Linked DNA regions of Bombyx mori. The protein of the gene in region 4 interacts with the protein of the main gene of each other region in a pairwise test. Links are inferred from orthologs where the notes say so. Each region holds a gene or a part of one and is shown on either strand. Other genes may lie near its edges. The genes, in order: kinesin-like protein KIF23, anillin, protein ECT2 and rac GTPase-activating protein 1.

The links.
Region 1: the proteins of rac GTPase-activating protein 1 (region 4) and kinesin-like protein KIF23 interact in a two-hybrid assay, tested with the Drosophila melanogaster proteins (3 studies listed by BioGRID). The link is inferred for Bombyx mori from reciprocal best matches to the Drosophila melanogaster genes tum and pav.
Region 2: the proteins of rac GTPase-activating protein 1 (region 4) and anillin interact in a two-hybrid assay, tested with the Drosophila melanogaster proteins (2 studies listed by BioGRID). The link is inferred for Bombyx mori from reciprocal best matches to the Drosophila melanogaster genes tum and scra.
Region 3: the proteins of rac GTPase-activating protein 1 (region 4) and protein ECT2 interact in a two-hybrid assay, tested with the Drosophila melanogaster proteins (2 studies listed by BioGRID). The link is inferred for Bombyx mori from reciprocal best matches to the Drosophila melanogaster genes tum and pbl.

The regions. Positions count from the first base shown.
Region 1 is NC_085129.1:18,298,336-18,303,880, forward strand, and holds the start of kinesin-like protein KIF23, read right to left. Parts: upstream 3,268-5,545; 5' UTR 2,995-3,267; coding exon 388-2,994; 3' UTR 1-387. Other genes in the region: serine/threonine-protein kinase BRSK2, read left to right, coding at 4,736-4,852, 5,184-5,282.
Region 2 is NC_085126.1:7,234,758-7,239,545, forward strand, and holds part of anillin, read right to left. Parts: intron 4,611-4,788; coding exon 4,464-4,610; intron 3,318-4,463; coding exon 3,172-3,317; intron 2,910-3,171; coding exon 2,829-2,909; intron 2,197-2,828; coding exon 2,029-2,196; intron 314-2,028; coding exon 113-313; intron 1-112. UniProt on the Drosophila melanogaster protein: Required for cytokinesis. Essential for the structural integrity of the cleavage furrow and for completion of cleavage furrow ingression and proper formation of the midbody.
Region 3 is NC_085121.1:10,890,557-10,895,344, forward strand, and holds part of protein ECT2, read right to left. Parts: intron 4,124-4,788; coding exon 3,911-4,123; intron 2,766-3,910; coding exon 2,622-2,765; intron 902-2,621; coding exon 1-901.
Region 4 is NC_085114.1:3,021,683-3,026,470, reverse strand, and holds part of rac GTPase-activating protein 1, read left to right. Parts: coding exon 1-108; intron 109-639; coding exon 640-769; intron 770-1,361; coding exon 1,362-1,477; intron 1,478-1,917; coding exon 1,918-1,951; 3' UTR 1,952-4,788.

The DNA.
Region 1 (5,545 bases), on a different chromosome or scaffold from region 4:
TTACAATATAATGGTACATTTTATGAGCAAATATACAATCACAGAATGTATTTTAAGTATATATGTTCAAAAATAACATTGAGAATGTCTTGGAAAAGAAAAAAATTCACTGAATCTGTCACTGGCCACTTTTAAGTCAGTTGAAAATAGAAAGCATAAAAAAGATAATTTGAAAGTCACAAGTTCTAGATTCTACTAGAATTACAATCATGATAATAATCAGGAATGTAGGTAGTTTAACTTTTTTACATATTCAATGATTTTGAATGAAAATTCCTACCAAACCTCAATTTAATAATTATATTAAGAAATCGAACAAGTTCTATGCACCACAAAAACATATTTATATTCTTCCACTTATTTCACTTTACCTGATCACGTCCAAGATCATTCGTCATCAACTCTCTGCTTCTTACTGGTGTTTGATGGTGTTTGTGGTGGTGAAGAAGCGGTGTCTCTCCTCTTGCCGGAATGTCTAGCACAGCTATTGCTGGACAATCTCTGCGATTCCCTTGTCGGAGAAAACTGTTTTAGCATTTCAACATCATTGAATATAACTTGAGCTCCTCCCCCGCAGGTGGGTACAACATCACCTTTGTACAGTTTCGTCTCCAATTCACCATCAGTATCTTGCTCTTGCGATATAAGACAGTATTTTGACGTTTTCGAATTGGCAATGTCTTTGACCGTTGTCAGTTTATTAACGATTTTGCTATTCGTCATGCTTGGCTTCATGACTGTGCCCATTGGGACTAGCTTGTTAGGTGCGTGTTCCACCCAGCCTCGACCATCAGCTGACAATGACCGTCTATGGCGTGGATTCGCTACAGCGACCCCTCTTCTTGATGTTGGTGTGTCGCGTGATTGTGGAGCTGAACTGAATGGGGTCAAGAGGTGTGCGGGTAGAGCTCTCGGTGTGGAGCCCGGTGTAAAATGACTGGTCTGAGCACCAATTTCAGTTGTGGAGCGTGGATAATCAAAGTTGTCTCCTCTGTCTGCCATATCAACATTTAACGCTTCTTTGACTTTACGTAAACAGTTTTCTTTTTCCTCAACTGCATTTCTTAATCTTTCCTTTTCTGTGTTTATCTCTTTTGCCTTCTCCTGTTCGGCGGCAATCTTGTGGTTGTATTTTCTTTCAAGGATCTTTTTCTGCTTTTCTTTCTCAAACTTATTCTGGTTGAGCAAATATTCTTTTTCCTGTAGATCTCTCTTTAAAGATGATGTGTATTCAGTCATTTCTGCCAATTTTCTTTGGTGCGTGAGAGATGCATTTTCTGTGGCTGTCAAGCGTTCTTCTAAAGCTCGAATCCTGCGTTCAGAGGCTGCCAGCTGTCCCCTCAATGATGAGTTTTCACTTCTCACTTCTAATGATTCTTTTTCAAGATCCAACAGGGCTGACCTCAGTCTTTCATCCTTCACCGCCTTACTTCTCTTAAGTGTTTCTCTGCGACTGATTCTCATTTCTAAATGTGCCATCAGTTCCTTAATTATATGGGCAGCTTGAGAGCTATTCAGTTCCAAGCTTGGGAAGTCTGGCCCGAGGCTGTATACCAAACCTAGATCTAAGTCCAAATCTTTAGCCTCCGGTCTCGCCATATTGTCACGAGCTGTTGTGAAGAGTCTATTAGCCTTTCTGCGGCCAGACATCAAACCTATTGTTGTTGCGACATCTATTACTTGGGGTTTAGCAACTTCAACTTCTGCTGCCATCTCAGCAAATCTCATCACTTGGAGGGTTTCATCATAATCTTCAGCTCTTGGATTTGCACAGACTATCATCCTTACTTGTCCTTCACCTTCAAAGAAATTTTTGAAGAGATGAGTAATTTTAGACTCTCTATAGGGCACCATGTTATTAGCACTGTTAATTTGATTTTCTCTCAACGCTTCTAAGCAGGTTCTAAGAGTCATCAATGACTTATTAATATTCCCGGCTTCTCTTAGTCTTTGTCCTGTGTTTTTGGTTCGGTTAGTTCTTTCGCTACCAGCTAAATCAACAAGACTCAGTTGACTAATATTCAAGAACTTTTTATTTTGTATCACAGCTTCTCCCATCTCGTCAACTGGTGCCTGCACTAATCGTATTGTGAACACTGAGTGACTTCGGCTTGATTCTGCGTTCAGAGTCGTGTGAGCCATTCGTTTCCGTTTCAAACCTAAATAGAAAGCATCAAAGGCATCCTCAGCTGACTTAATCTCGATTTCAGTAACCCCGTGGACATACATATTATGGGCTGCATCTTCTCTTATTATCTTCACTGGAAGGTTCCTACTAATCGGAGGACCATCTTCTAACAAGTCAAAAACACTGTTATTGTAGATTTCTACATATGTAACGAACACAGCGTACTGATTGTCTTCATTGATACCTTCTACTTTAGTTATATCCGTGGATGCCATAGCTAAATCCGGATTCGAATTATTTTTCTTCCCAGTTTTAAATTTGTGAAGTTCCTGTTGCCTCTCTAGCATGGCCTCCGCTTCGTTTTGAATATCGAACATGTTCATTTTGTCCGGTTTGAACACATATTTGTGAGCTTGGAAATCGTTAATAGTTTTGAAAATAATATTCAAACATCGTGGTAATATCCCGCAGTTCTGGGGCTCGCCGGTCATCGTGAACGTTTTCCCGCTGCCCGTGACCCCGTAGGTGAATAACAAGCCGTTTTTACCTTTAATCAAGCCTTCGACTAACGGCAGTGAGACTTTATCGAAAACTTCTTGCTGTGACGCTTCCGGCGGGAAAATCTCTTTGAATGTGTATTTCATGGTTTTGCTGCCTTCATTTCTGTAGCTTAACGCCGTTGCTGGCGGCGTTAGGAGTAATGTGGTTGGTGATATAATCTTCATACACGACACATCACTTTCTCTTTGCATGGGGCGAAGTCTACAGTAGACTTGTACAGGATCGCGGTCCTGAGCGAGATTTTGTTTACTACGCGCCGGCGTTCGCATCTCGTTTAATCTCTGTTTCGATTTAACGGACTTCATTTTTGTTATATTTTATCGTCACATATAATATTTAAATATTTCGGTTGAATATCGCTTCAACGACTTTCAATAAATCAAAGCAACGGTCTCTGAACGGCCGTTCATGAAATATCAATATTAACTGACTAATTTAAAATCAACTTATTTGCTGTCACTTTTTAATAATGGCAGTAAAAATTATACGAAAGGATACCAAGGTCGTTTAGCGGAAATACCATTTGAGTTCGGTCGGATTATATCTACCCGTTTCTTTTTAAAGTTTTGACATTTTTGTTACTAATGATACCAGCTAATAGATTGATTTTTCCTGAAGCAACTTAGATAAATGGAAAAGTGTTGGACGGTTAAATTTGAGGGGTTTGGGTTTTGTAGGTGAGGGGCTATTTAAAAACACTGCTTCATGGTTAAATATATTACAAACATTTTGTACAGTATTACCCCATTGCAATATGTATTTTATTTTTATAAAGCCCTAAGATGTTGCACTGTCCGTGTCTAGACATAAGTCTTCGTCATGACTGAAGAGAAGACAATCATCTGTTTTAAATATTTAAATAAGCATTCCAACATTCGAAAACTGTTACTTCACATGTGACAAGTGTTGTCTGCCATTACTTACATATTCAAACTCGAACAAAAAGTCTGCAGTTGAATTTTTCTCTAAGGATGTGAACATGTGAACCAGTTTCACTAGGCCTGGTCTGCTAGATTTATTTGAACTAAAACGTCGTTTTATTTTGCATAGACGATTGAATGAGCTTAGAGCCCAGCTAGTAAAGATTTACTGGAGGGAAACCATAAATATCAAAATGTAAATATGGCCACTGACCTTGAAATGTTCGATCTAGGTCTCGATTGCGATATAAAGCAGCTAACCAATAAAACCGAAACGCATTACTTCTACGTGTCAGAAATATGCTGGTTGTTGGGTGTAACCACTCTGGGTTACGAGAGATCCTAATACCAGAAATTCTGTAAATTATTACTGTTGCAGGCTTAATTTTTATTGCATAATGTTTTCCTTCAACGTGAAATCCATTCGTAGGCATGAGCTGAGTACGTATTTCGCTTAAAAAATCGGTACCCGTCTCTAAGATTTGTACACTGACATAGTAAGATAGCTCGATGTGAATACATTGAGTACTTTATCCTTTACACTATGTCAATATTAAAAGCTAAGTATATACACGCCTGTGTGTTTGCCGCTAACACATTATTTTTAATAACCGTATTGCTACTCTATCTATCTGCAGTTGTATTGCTTCACTACTTTCCCACATTTAACGGAACACTCACCCTTATTCTGTTTTGCAGTTTTTTTTTTACTTTATTTTGAGAATTCCCAAATTTCAGGGACTTTTCATATTATTCTTGAGTGGTCACCATGATTGGCAGTTCTGCCAACATAATTATAGGAATAAAAATATTTTCGTTCTACGTAATATTAAATCAATCCGTTCATAAGCATTGCTATTATAGAATTATTGCCTACAACACTTACATCATTATTTTTTTAACAATATGTTGGAACTTAAAAAAACTTTCTTTAAGTGTACTTCTAAATCAATTCCAAATTAATTAATAAAAAACTGCCCAGTTTGAAGTTTATTATAACAGAGAATGGAACGTTTCCGCTGTCAAAGTTCGTAAACAAAACAAATTATGAAAATGTATGTAAACAAACAATGCATCGTTTAGAAATGAAAACTGTTGCTCACGAAATGGATGAAATTCATTTCAGGGTGAGAAATACGATGGTCGGAGGGCGGACGTCTGGTCGTGCGGTGTCATCTTGTACGCACTTCTCGTCGGTGCGCTGCCTTTTGACGATGATAATTTACGTCAATTACTTGAAAAGGTAAAGGGTTCTCGGTATGAATCGGCGAACGATTCCACGTAATTAAAGAGTACTTACACCGGTAACACGAATCCAGTTAAAGAATTGCAGATCTGTTATAGCATGTTAGGTAAAGGTGAAAATAATTTTCCAAGGAAATGCAAAATATAACAAAGTTAACATCATTAGTACAAAATCAATAGAATAACAAGTTTAAATTTAATCAACTGACCCGAAGCATTGGAATTGAAATTTTATATGAAAAAAAAGAATAATTTTCTTAACTAACAAATAAATAGTTATGTATGAAAATCTATGGTATAATTTAATATACATCCTTATTTGATTCAAGGTGAAACGAGGAGTGTTTCACGTGCCGCACTTTGTACCACCTGACTGCCAACAACTACTGCGTGGAATGATAGAAGTGAATCCGGAGAAGAGAATGACTGTAAGTTGTTTTTTTATGCTTTATCTCATTTTACAATTGAGAACTATCTAAATAGTTTAGTGTTACATGGTCACAGATGACCAAGGTGCTATTCATTAACGTTATTAATATTATGCTAACCACCAGTTGATTTATATAAAAATATTATATATGGCTATGTTGTTATGAGGATATCATTGACATATTCAACTTAGTGGCTGTCATACCAAAGTAATTCAATCTTCAACCCTATGTATTAACTTTGTGTAGTGCATTAGTAGAGA
Region 2 (4,788 bases), on a different chromosome or scaffold from region 4:
GGTTAAGTTCGGCCTTCCTATTGTGATCTACCATGGGACTGGATCATGTTATCTACTGGTCTAAATTTAACGAAAAAGCTTGTCTAGGTGTTGAGGTGACAGTAGGTGATACCTTCTTGTGGACATCGTCAGGGTACTTCCAGTAGGCCAGGCGGGGCGTCTGCAGGCGGAACCAGCGGCGGTGCCAGGCGCCCAGCCCGCTGACGTCATCGAAGGCGGTGAGGAAGGCGGCGTGCGGCGCGGGGGGCGGCACGGCCACGCGCGCGCGCACCTCCACGCACACCGAGCCCTCCAGCGGACTGCCCATAGGGACCTGGGACCGCACGCAAGATATTAAGCACAATATTATCATTCAATTATGAAATACAGTCAAAATCTGTTATAACGACATCGAAGGGACTGTTCATATTCAGTCGTAAAAACCGATAGTCGTAACAACCGGTGATGTTTAATGTGTATCGTGCAAGTACAAACAAATCGATAGGGAATTATTGGAAAAATATATTTACATAATACGCGATTTTTCTTCAATATTAATTTGTTTTCTTTTTCTTTGCGACATTTTGAAAGCTTCACGAATAACTCCACAAAGTTTTGGTGCGTCTTGTGTATAAATAAGTAACAAACTAACTGAAGAGATATGAAGAAGCGGGCTATGACTACCGCATGCACGTGTTTTGTTTCTAAGAATTAGAAAAGACCCTACACTAAACTAAATCCTATTGTTTTCTTTCCCGATTTTAAAAGCCATTGAAGACAAATGTGGATACCTATTCAAATTGTTTACAATACAACTTAGCTGGTCGTTCTAACAGATCTAATTGTCCGAAATATTAGTTAAATGTGGTCGTTTTATGAGGTATGTCGTTATTACCAATGTCGTAGAAAGCAATATTTTTAATAAGGCGGTCATATGGCATTCAGCCGGGACCTTTGTTCTTGGTTATTATAACCGGCATGTTGTATTAAATGATGTCGCAGTAAACGGTTTTGATTGTATAAAATTTTACCTTTTTAAGTTGTCCGACAGAACAATGTTTTTTTTAATGTTCGAGAGGTTACTGGTGGCCCGGAGGCCTTTCGAGTTTTACCAGGGCAGGTGGGCGAGCAAATGCTCAGTCAAGAGGGGTGGGATTTGTTAACAGCTACCCGTGCGCCTTCAAAGGATACGTAACAGCTGACCTAACAACTCAAGAGCAGCTTCACGAATGAATCTACCACCGGATCGGAATCGCGACCCGCTGAGAAGATCCGGCGAGAAACTCAGCGGGTTGAGACTAATCTGTGATATCATAATGTGTGTATATAGTATAATAGCCAGCCGAGTTAAATCTAATATTCGCAGTACATTATTTTTTGGAGAAAGAATGATGTTAAAGTTTAAAATCCATTACTGGTTTGACTGACTGGTTCATTTTTATTTATTTATTATTTAAAAAAAAGGATTCATTTTAAAAAAGAGAGGAGAGTCGCATATCAGGTACGCTTTATAATTACGTGACGATTTGTAGTACCAGTCAACACTTACTGTCTTAAGGTAATTGATTCAAAATATATTTATTTTATTTTATTGCCTTTGTAGGCAGACAAGGGGGTCGCGGGTTCGAATCCCGACAAGGGAGGATATTTGTATGATAAATATAAATATCTTTTCCAGGGTTATGGATGTATACTAAATATATGTATGTGTCGAATCAAAATCTTAGATTTATTTTCGTTATCTGGTACCTGTAACACAAGCACTTTACGAACTTATCACGGGACCAGTTAACATGGCGTGATTGTTAGTAAATATTAATTTTTTTTTTTAAGGGATTTTATGATATTTATGGTAACTAAGACCTTTAAGTCATGTCTTATTTTAATTTATATTTATATTTTTATGAAAAATGATATTATGGAGTGAAATGAAATGAAGATTATTAATTTGAGACATTAATCAACTGGGATGAATTTAAATGAAATGAGATGAGATGATATGGGATTAAATATAATCTCAGAATATTTATGATTATTATTATAAGTGACCTTATTCAAAGTGAAGCTGGTCCTGGAGGCCTGCTGCAGCGCAAAGATGCAGTAGCCGTGCAGCTGGAACTGCGGCGTGCGGACAGTGTGCGGCCCGCCCGGACTCTGCACGCGGGGCGCTTTCAGCTCCGACACTTTCGACTTCGGCGTTAAGAGCTTTGAACTCGACTGGAAACCAACAAATCAACTCAATATTCAACTAAAATAATAATTGGAACGAAATTCCTTATCGCGCGTTGCGAAAGGGGGCTCCAGACGGAAAAAATTAAAGCAAAAAGTTGTAACGACACTTTGCTATAGTTGTAAGCCGTGCGGCGTGCGCGTGTTTCTCTGTCTGTCTGTCTGTCTCTCTCTCTCTAATAGAAAGCAAGCCAGCTATTTTCGTTTCGTCTTTCTATTTCGCACTGAACAGAGTGGTGTCGCGATGATTATTTTTGTTGTATACAGATTTTTATTATAACTTAAAGAAAAGATTACAATTCCTTCAGTAATTAATCGAAAGGAACTTCGTTTCATCCGGGTGTCCCTTGACACCTCTCAATATATATTTTTCCCTACCTATGCTGATAGCCTTGAGAGGCTATATCAGCTTCGCCCTAACGTGTAGGTGAGCTCACGGGGCTCAAACCGGAGTGTTGCTAACACTGACCCCAGCAAGAGCCGTGCTTCGCAGAATCTACCACCGGATCCGAAACGCGACCCACTGAGAAGATCCGGCGAGAAACTCAGTGGGTTTAAAATCAATATTCAACTAAAGCTGACACGTATGAAACGTTTCAAGTTAGGCCAAGTTAATTTACCTTTTTGTTGAAAATATGATATTTGACATCGTGTGGCAACATTTCTTTGGATGCTTGCAATAAATAAACTTCCACTGTCACCTGCAAAAATAAATATAATAGCTAAGTTCTTCGATTTCCTGCAATATAGGATTAGTACGAATTTTATTGACTTAGATTTGAACACTAATGAAGTTTATCTGGTCTTCACAGTATACAAAATCCATTATCCAAACCGATACATGAGGTCATCTTACACACTTTTGATCAATTAGGTCGTGAGCTTGTTAACCGTTACGCAATAAGTATGTATAAGCTCCCCAATGAGTTTCCAGCATCCACCGGCTACTATTAAATCACTTACCTTAAAATCGCTAGAGAGTCCGAGCATTTTGATTTCATCGGGGAAATGTATAGTGTTGTTTGTTGGTTTAGTTTGCTGCATGCTGGTCGCCAGAACTCTGTCCCGACATTTCAGCAGACACACGGCGTGATGCCCGACGGCGCCATCTGTAACGTTTCATTTTAATCATGAATAGATCAAAAAATTTTCTTCTGAAAGGTTTCATCAATCTTATTAACCAAGATTTTCACATACCAATTACTTTAGGTATTAAAATTTAAGTAGTTTAGGGAACAAACAGTTATAAACTTTTTTTTTTTGTTATAAATCGGACCCCCTCGTGCACTTTGCGCATTACGCATGCCAAAAGTATCAACATTAATTTACCTCTAATAAATTGCGTATTTTTTTGTTTCTATTTAGACTAGTAGCCGCCCAGTAGTCGAAACTCGGCTATAATTATTGATTTAAATTATAAGTTTGAACATTATTACGGTTCTATTGTCAAATACTTTATTTCTGTATGTCTACGCGCCTCCATCGGCTAGGCTCTGTCGTAGCACGAAGTTAGCAGAGTTACGTTACCACGATCGTGCTGCCATCTCTCGAGAATCGTGCTGCGTTTTGTTTAGCTATCAAACTTTTTTTTTTCCTACCTAAGCTGATAGCCTTGAGGCTATTTCAGCGTAACCTTAACTAGTAGGCGAGCTCACTGGGCTCGAACCTGACGACGTTGCTAACACGAACCCTAGCAAGAGCAGTGCTACCAGTGCAGAATCTACCACCGGATCGGAAACGTGACCCACTGAGAAGATCCGGCGAGAAACTCAGTGGGCTGTGTCTGAGGGTTAATTTACTCATCCAGCCCTTCGTCGCAAGCGACGGGTTCGACAAGAACGATGACTGGTGCTTGAGGTACTTAGAAGCACGTTAGTGGATCTGGAGGATCCGAAATGACGTGTTTGAGGCGACGTCGACTGCTTTCCATTTTGTCCACAGGATCGGGAATGTACCAAAAGTACCATTTTTTTTATATATTTATATTTAAATATAATATATATTTAAATTATATTATTTAAAAAAATTATATATATTTAAATTTAAATTTAAATTTAAATTTATATGTTATTGTTCGTTGTGTGTAGGGGTTGGCGTTGTTATCTGCAACACAGTCTATGACTACAGCAGATAACATCGTTTCAATATTTGTTATTATGATTAAAATTGTATGTTTTTGTAATAAATAAATAAATAAATAAAAATAAATTTAGATAAATAAAAGAGTCGGCTACAAGACCGCACACAGTACGGACCGGCGTTGAGCTGGCGCACGTAGTCCCGGCGCAGCGGCACGTTGAGCGCCGCGACGGAGAGCGAGGCCAGCCCCGCGGCGGCGGCCGGGCCCGCGCCCTCCACCTGCAGCCGCTGCATCTCGTGCAGACACGCCTGCCGACGGTGCGCTGCAACATACGCGCAGTTACATATCGACAATCATTACTGGTGGTAGGACCTCTTGTGAATCCGTACGAGTAGGTACCACCGCCCCGCCTATTTCTGCCGTAAAGCAGTAATGCGTTTCGGTTTGAAGGATGGGGCAGCCGTTGTAACTATACTTGAGATCTTAGAACTTATATCTCA
Region 3 (4,788 bases), on a different chromosome or scaffold from region 4:
ATTCCCCAGCTGGATCTGTTGGTTTAACGTTTTCTGGACTTACTGGCTCCACTATTATGTCGCCTGTGGGTTTGGTGAGAGATTCTCTTTTAGATTTTTTGAAAATCGTTGGTTTAGTTTTAAATTTGAAGGAATCTTTAATTTTCAACCTTTTTATGGATTTACAATTATTCTCATCACATTTATCAGGAGATAAATTCACATCGACGGTGCTTTCTTGAAAATTTGTATCAGTCGAATTGCGACTTCTTTTTTTACCAGATGAAATAGTGGTCGTAGATTGTTGCAATTCTTTATTTCGAGTGGGGGTCGGCAACAAGAATTCACCTTTAGGATCAAGATCACATAAGCTCTTAGTGAGAGAAGAATGGAGAGAGCCAACTTCGTTGAAACAATCGACTAGATTAAATACATTCATAGATTTGTTACGAAATACTTCTCGTTTATCTTTTACGTTACATTTCAAAGATCCGTGGCTCGTTTGGGAATCTTTATTTTCTTTGCCGCCGTTACTATGTTTTCGGTACTCTATACGTTCACCGTGTGAACTATTTTTTTCTTCTTTATAAGAATAAAAATCGTCTGTATACGATTTCCCTACTAAACTATCAGCTAATTTATCTTTGGATGTGTATTGTTTTTCTCGAATTTCACTTAAAGCTCGCTGTATGCGTTTGTCCTTTTCATCGTGGAGAACTTCATGGCTAGTATCGGCTGCATGTTTGACAGGACTAGCGCGGCATCCTGACAGCCGTGCCGATAGTCTACGGTATAACGAAGTCTTTGGAGTGGACTGAGAACGATTGGGAGTCGATCGGGATGGTTTAGAAGAGGAGCTCGGAGTGGTCTGGTGAGGCGATAGGATAAGCGAACGACCGAAAGTCTCCCCATTGGCCATAACCTGAAACATGTGTGAACACACCACGCAATGATGTAATGAAGCCATTCCGATACAAACATGCATCACGATTATCAACGTGATTAAATAGTTAGAACATAAAGAAGCTGGTGTCTGTTCTATGTTAATGTAATTGGTCAAGAATTATTTTATCTCGACCAAAATAATGAATTGAGTTGTCAATATTAATTAATTTTACATAAAAAAATTATATATATTAAATAATTCTACTGCACTACTGTAGGTTCGCTAATAATAAAATATTGACAGCAAACAGTGAAAGCACAATACTGAGTCGACCAAACAGTGATTATAGCGCAGTATTCACATCAGCAAATGAAATGTGTTCTGTGTATGTAAGTGCGCAAATTACAGAGTACGGTCATTAAAACCTGTTATATTTTTTTTTAAGTATACATTCTATAGATAATGTTTAAAAAAACAATGGGTCGACTTTACGTCGTGCGGTGAGGAAAGAGAGGGATGCAATTCTAGTGCTCGCTAAGCGACTCTTAAGCTGTTACAGAACTAAAAGTATCCACAATAGGTAAATAACACATGAAAGTATGAATGGCCTTACACTCAAATACCAGAATGTGGGACAGTGGTATCTATCTGAGTTAAACATTAGCATAACTATCTGTCGTTTGATTATGAAACTACAACTACCGACATTGAGTCGTAAAGCAGCTGATAATGTGTGTTTGCAATACTACTTAGCCGTTCAATGTGTTACACAAACAACGGCTGACATTGACAATGTTGCTAAATAGAGCTCCACTATCAAAATAGTTAATGAATTTAAAAATATATCTGAGTACATTACTGAATATCTAGATGACAACTAATGCAGTGTAAATAATATAATAGCTGGTGTTCCCGAGGGTAATACGTGCATACTACATGCTGATTTCACAACGCTAAGCTTGATGACTAATGTGCAAAATAAACTAAAAATAAACTGTGAGAATTTTATAAATAAACAGATACGCAATGCATCCAAAAGTTTATATACATATGCATATGCTACAGAGTTGAATAAAATTTAATAAATAAAAATTACATTTGTGGGTCATATAGATTTATACATCAGAGATTTAAGATCAGTGTCATATAACACTGAAGTGCTTAAATGTCATTTAGAATAATATTATATGTGTGAATATTAATAATATATATTATCTATGTAACTATTATAGAGCAATATTTCTCAAAATTAGAACCATAAAATCGGAACTACTTTTTAGTAAAAATTATTTCTATACAGATTTGGGTCTAATTTTTTTATTTCTTAGTTTTGTATGACAATCTTTGGATCATAATTAAGAAAACAAATCATAAATTTTTTTCTCATAGTTATAAACTAAAAAAAAACATTTATGCCAATTACAAAATGAAATGTTCTATTACAGATTGGTACTATGAAAATCCGACTTTATGCTTCTAATATCTGAGATTTAACAATGAGAGCTGCCGTTACGAAATTTAGTGCTTTTTATTCAATAATCAGACAAGCATTCTCTATCAAATATTGCCTGCCTCTCTGACAGAATATAAAACAGTTGAGACAATATATTAATTTATTAAAAACAAAACAAATTTATTTGTGTTTTGTATGTTCTTGTATTTTATTCTTGAATAAATTCAATGCCCTTAACCAATTGGAACTATTCTTTGAGGATTTGATCACATTATTAAATAATTATGAATAAATGTTACTTACGACGTGCGTACAGTCCGGATCGTCGAGTGGACAGACGGCGCCTCCGTTGCTGGCGAGCACCTCGCCCATGTGTTGGGTCTCATCCTCCGGGAAGCCGACGAAGCACACCCTCGCTCCGGCGAAAACTTTCAATTTATGTTCTTTCTGTAACACAACGTTAATCTCAAAATTATTAACATATATATTATGGTAGGCAGCGGCTTGGCTCCGCCCCTGGCGTTGCTGATGTCCATGAGCGACGATGACCACTTACCATCAGGTGGGCCGTATGCTCGTCTGCCTACAAAGGCAATAAAAAATAAATAAATAAACATACATATGACTATAGAACTACAATATTTTCTAGAAAATACCCTTCTCGTACAGAATAGATTTTAAATAGACTTTATTAGGTCATATTCAAATAATATGATCATTAAACAAGATTTAAAACGACCATGAATGATGATGTCAACAAGGAAGCAGACATTATAATTTCGAATATTTGTATATAAGGTTTCCTTTAACGACAACTGTTCTGTGATTTCAAAGACACTAATTTTTTGTTGTATGTGTCTCCCTCTAGAATAGCACCACCGCATCTCTTCTCTTGGATGTCGTGAAAGGCAAGTAAGGGATTCACTGGATAATGGGCAGCAGCGTTCTATGAGTCCACCTACCAATCTACTTTACCTACCTATGCTACAATCTGTACCTACAGTTGAGTTCGTCGTAAGCTGCGGACTATAGTAAAAAAAATTCACAAGATATCTAAATATTCATACGTGAAGAAAAAACTGTGTACCCCTTTTTACGAAAATTGTGTGGACAGAGGACTATGAAATTTCCCACACTTATAGAGAATATAGAGTTATGTATAAAGTAACCATGTATTTGACACACACACACACACACACCCATACTATATACTCTTTTGTTTATTGTTAAAGTCTGTGGTCAAATTCAGAATAGGTTAATATTGTTTGTCTTCAATATTATTTATCTATAGTGTAGCCTTGGCGAAATTTGTTATTATAGACGTCGTATGATTTTCTTTCACAATAGATCCTTTATAATGTTCAAACTTATAATTAAATTAATTTTAGTCGAATTTCGACTACCAGTCGGCCACTAGTAATTATTTATAGCCGATCCGGTGGACCGAATGGTAAACAGTCGACGTCGCCCTAAACACATCATAAAAGTTAAATTAAGTAAAAATAAGACATGACTTGAAGGTCTTAGTTTCCAGGTCATAAAATTCCTTTAAAAAAAAACCACCGGTATGTCTCAAGAGTGAGTATACTTACAATTATGACATCGTCGGTCGCGAGACAGGCGGGGTCGTCTCGCCGTTCCCAGCACGCGTCGACCCAGGAGCGCGCGAGCACGGGCAGGCCGAACCCGGACGCGTACCTGTACTTCTCGCCCGTAGCTGCGGCCGCGATCAGGTGCGTCACCTTGCTCGACATGTCCTTACGGATCGAGCCGCCCATGTAGTGTATTAACGTTATCAGGTACGTCTGTCAACATTCAACAACTCTATTAATGTTTGACATTACCAAATTTTTTTACACGCTTTATATTAGCTTCACTTGTATGTATGTTTGTAACTGACTCCTTTAGACGCGATTTCGACCCATTTTAATCGGCCAGATTTCATTCAAACTTTGTAGATTTATCGACGACCGATGACAACACACTAATTTGATAATTAATATTATAAAGCTGAAAAGTTTGTTTGTTTGAACGCGCTAATCTCAGGAACTCTTGGTGCGATTTGAAAAAATATTTCAGGGTTAGATAACTAATTTACTGAGGAAGGCAATAAATAGGCTATATAACATCACGGTAAGGCCATACAAGTGGAGCACCAATAAAGAATGTTTCAAAATAGAGGTTTAAATAGCTCCTTAACATTCTATAATTCAAAAATATTTTCACTTTCTACGTAAATGAAGTGGGGGTAAAATTTAGCGTTATGCCAAAGTAACTGTTCCACGCGAACGGAGTCGCGGGCAAAAGCTAGTTAGCTTATTTGCCGTTTCTCTATACCCATGCCATACCATAAGGTAGTACCCTATACCGTCGCGTATATACGTAAATTTTGTTTCTAGCACATGTAACTTCAGCTAATTTTATATAGGAGTAAAAACTTAATTTATAAAAATAAAAGTCTATGCGTATG
Region 4 (4,788 bases):
CGCGCTGCCCGACCGCGCCGACGCCGCCGCCGCGCTGCTGCACGCCGTCACGCAGCTGCCGCCGCCCAACCGCGACACGCTCGCCTTCCTCGTGCTGCATCTGCAGAAGTACTCACGCTCACTCACGCTCACGAGCCCCTCTCCTACTCACCTGGGGTCGTCGCAACCTGGTGTTAAGTGGTTACCGGAGCCCATAGACATCTACAACGTAAATGCGCCACCCAACTTGAGATATAAGTTGTACTGATACCTTCAGTATAGTTACAACGGCTGTCCCACTCTTCAAACCGAAACTCATTACTGCTTGACGGCTGAAATAGGCAGAGGGGCGGTACCTACCAGTGCGGATTCACAAGTGGTCCTACCAACATGTTTTCTCTTTCCATACTCCTCTATCATATGCCATTTCTTCGCTCATTCCCCTCTTACACATATAGTCTTTCACGCAATCCATCCATTTTTTCTTATATCTCTCATATTTAAAATTTTCTTAATTTTTTTAATCAAAATTTGATCAAAACAAATATTTTAAAAATTTTGAACTTCGACCTGGTAACGAGACCTTTAAGCCATCAAATCTTTTTTTTTAATATTTAGATTACAGACCTTACACTAATAACAATTTATGACTTGGTACAGAGTGGCAGAGAGCCCCGAATGCGAGATGGGCATAGACAATCTGGCTAAAATATTTGGTCCGACCGTCGTCGGGTACGGCATGATGTCGCAAGCCGCGGAGATGTACGCCGCCACAGCGCAGATGTTCAAGGTAAAATGGAAATGAAATTTACTTAACCTCTTATTTGCGTTTTGTATGTGCTACAGAGAGCGTTTTAAGAAGTGTCTTTTTTATTTCTTAGATATTTGGAAGAGCTCACAGCCCACCTTTTATTAAGTGGTTACTGGAGCCCATGGACATCTATAACGTAAATGCCGCCACCCACCTTGAGATATGCGTTCTAAGGTCTCAGTATAATTACAACAGCTGCCCCACACTTCAAACCGAAACGCATTACTGCTTCCCGGCAGAAATAGGCGGGGTAGTGGCTCACAAGAGGTCCTACCACCATTAATTACGCAAATTATAATTTTGCGGGTTTGATTATTATTACACGATGTTATTCCTTCACCATGCAAGTCAATTGCGAACATTTGATAAGTACGTATTTCATTAGAAAAATTGGTACCCGCCTGTGGTATTGGAACATCGTTGCATCGCTAGATAATATGTTACTACCATCTACAGGAACAATGAGAAACTTATCGAAGCGAAGCCATCTAGTGGCCGACGCCCGTAAACATTTTTGTCGAGCGCTTGAGTTGCTTATCTATAACTGATTTATATGTATTATCTACGGCAGGTGATGCAGATAATGCTGTCGCTGCCGAGCGAGTACTGGGCGCAGTGGGCGTGCCCGGCGGACGGCGCGGGCTCGCCGCGGCCCCGGGCCTTCTTCTTTTCGCCGGCCGACACGGGGCAAGTTCATACACAAACTCACCACAGAATTGTGATCCAATCTATAACTGAGAGCTATAGGCATGAGTGAATGGTAAAACAAATCATACAACTTCACTCCTCGCGTTCCCGCCAAAAAGTCCAATATTTAATCTTTTCTCAATTTGACCACAGACTATTACTTATATTTATTACTTTAAAAAAAAGTTTGACAATAAACATATTGTATGCATGCGTATGTCTGTCAAATACATGGTAGTGTGTGTGTAATGTTTTTATTATTGATTTAATGTATTTGTTATACATAATTTAAAAAAATTTATCAACATTCTGCACTCCTTCTCTATATTCTCTATAAGTGTGGGAAATTTCATACATACTCCGTTCGCGCAATTTTCGTAAAAAGGGATACAATGTTTTTGTTTCACGTATATTAATATATAGATAATTTGTACTCGCAGTGTGTCGAGGAAGAAGCGCAACTATTTCCAGTGAGGAGCGGGCGGCGCGCCAACGCTTATGTTAACCAATCCATTTAAGTATGTTTGTTTTCATTTTCTTCTTTTTCATAATTTAAAACTTGTGTAATTAACTAATAATTTAATATGTAGTTTTGACTTTTGTAATACTTTGAATTGAATTTACTTGGTGATGTACGGAGTTAGCTCGATCCACATTTAACACTAATCATACCAACACTTACTGATGCCTATTTCTACCATAGCGGGTAAATAAAGGTATACAACAACTATTCCTTTAAAAAAACAAAACAAAATAGTATAATAATTGTAGATTAATTGGTAAGAAATAGTCATGAAGTCAAATGTGCAAAAGCAATAAGATGATACGTGCATATTCAATGCTAAAGTCTAAAATGGGTAATTTGACCCGTTATGGTATGTTTAGTGTTAAATATACTTAGCAGTAAGGTACTTATCATTATCATTATTTTTGCTCGCACATTTTTTTTTGTTATTAAAACAAATACAACTTTTTATGTGTTAAAATTAATCAATTACTGAAAAAAAAAAATTAATCTTTGAAAAGTAATAACAAGTAAAAGAGAGACACTTTATTGGCTTTTGCATAAACCTTTGTTTTGGAAATGTGTGATAATTTAATAATTATTGTAAACTACCCGACAATTTAAATAATTAAATTAAAACGCTGTGGATCTTGAGAAACATCTGACAATCATTTTTATTTAATATTGTAAACCGTAGAAATAGTCGCCAATGTAATAACCGTCTATTTGTTCGAACATACTTAGTTAATGTCGTTTAGAATTAAGTTTAGTTATCATGACCTTTACGATAACAGTAGCATTGTAAGTTTTTTCAAGAGCTTTACTGCAGTCTGCGCCGATTTCGAGTGCTGAGTGAAGTCGGAGCGCAATGTAGAGCTTTCTCAAACGAACTTCCGTTAACGTAGTAGTTGTTTTATGATCACTTTAGTACAGAAGTGTTTGTTCAATTGCCACTATGAGCAGACACGAGACAGAACATGTGATATAATTGACGTAGTTACACAACTGAATTGTGTTCTGTGAAACTGTACGTACGAACATCAGTGTGCTTAGTTGTGAGTTTTTTAACGTTCTCGATAGCGTAAAAGTTAACTCAAGTTTGTATGGAGTTGAAACGTTTGCCTACGTTTGCCGCTAGGGGCGCTGTTCTAACTCCATACAAATTTGAGTTAACTTTTACGCTATCGAGAACGTTAAAAAACTCTGACGCATTCGAGCTCGGCGTGCCGCGGTGTGAAGATATGATCAGATTAATTGAATATGCAATTTCGAAAAGGGCACATGTCGCATATTTTGTCAAATGCGTTTTTTCATATACATGTAGTTTTGAGGCTTACCTACACCCATTTTATAATAATTCCAGTAATTTTCAATTGCTAATTAACACTTAAATATATCTCAAAAGTTAATATTTTAAATTTTACACTGCTTTAGAAAATAATCAGTTTTTTTTCTATTTCCTGAATATTTTACATTTTCAGAGATGTGCCCTTTTCGAAATTGCATATTCAATTATATCTTAAGCTAGCTAATTTGTCATTAGTATTTAGTTTTTCTTCCAAATGTATTACTAAACAATAGTTTACATACTTTATGTACTTAACTAGTAAATATATTTTTTTTTAATATATAATAACCCTGCTAATTCTGCTCGCGTGTACTGTAGAATTAAAACTATGACCTCGTGTCTCTGGGAGGGTGGCGGCAGTCGTGTCTGAGCTCCGGGAACGACTTAACAACAAATGGGACTGTGAGCTTGGTCACCCTTATAAACCTGTGAAAGGAAAGTAGTTGTAATCCTAGAACACATTGTGTCTAGATACCATCTAAGTTTGGTGGGGTGATTGTAAAATTGTTTTTAATTTTTTTGTAAATGGTCGTAACCCAATTCAACACACCAAAAAAAGTAATAAAATTATTGTATTGGCAACAGTACTTGGGCATACTTTAAGTAAAGCAAGGGTGGATCCAGCTTTGGCGCCAGGAGGGGGTCACATAGTCGTGGGCAAGTTAAGAACTTATTATTTAATTTTGATAACAATAGATAATAAGTAAATCATGATGTTCTTCAATTAGTCCAAGTTAGTTCAAGTACTGGAACTAGCTCAGGGGGGGGTCATGACCCCCACGACCCCCCCCCCCCTGGATCCGCCGTTGAAGTAAAGCAGCTATTTTGAAATGAATGTGATTTACCTTGAAATGTTTCGTTATCTGGATACAGGTTCAAGTCAATAAAAACATGTTAAAATTTCAGGTAACTCAATTAAAAAAAGTTATAACCATGAGATTCTAGAGATAGATTTGTTGCGTGCGTGTGTGTGTGTGTGTGTTACAAATATGTATTGTTTCGGAGGACTAGTCGTATTCAACGTCTTAGACAAACTATGCGTTTTCATGTATTTTTTTTTCTTCTTTTTTATCTTTGTATAATTTTGTTTGCGGCCGTTACTAACTCGAACATATAGTAGTGTCTCATGACTCTATCAAATACGTTCTCGCCTAAATATCCTTGTTTTAGGTAAGAACCCTGTGAATCGCTAGTAGGGTTGCCACCCGTACTTTATAATAAAGTATTGTACGTTATTTCAGGTAATTGTACTCTATATTTTATGTGAACGATAAAGTACACGAAAATACTTTATTTGATGTACTTTATCTGCAAAAAAAAGGTGGCAACCCTAATCGCTAGTATGAGGTAGATAGGATTTAGTGTGCCTAGCATGACTGAGCCGGTGGTGCGTGGTCGGTCGTTTGCTCTGTGTCTGGATGCCTGTTGTTTATATATGTATATATTTAAATCGTATAT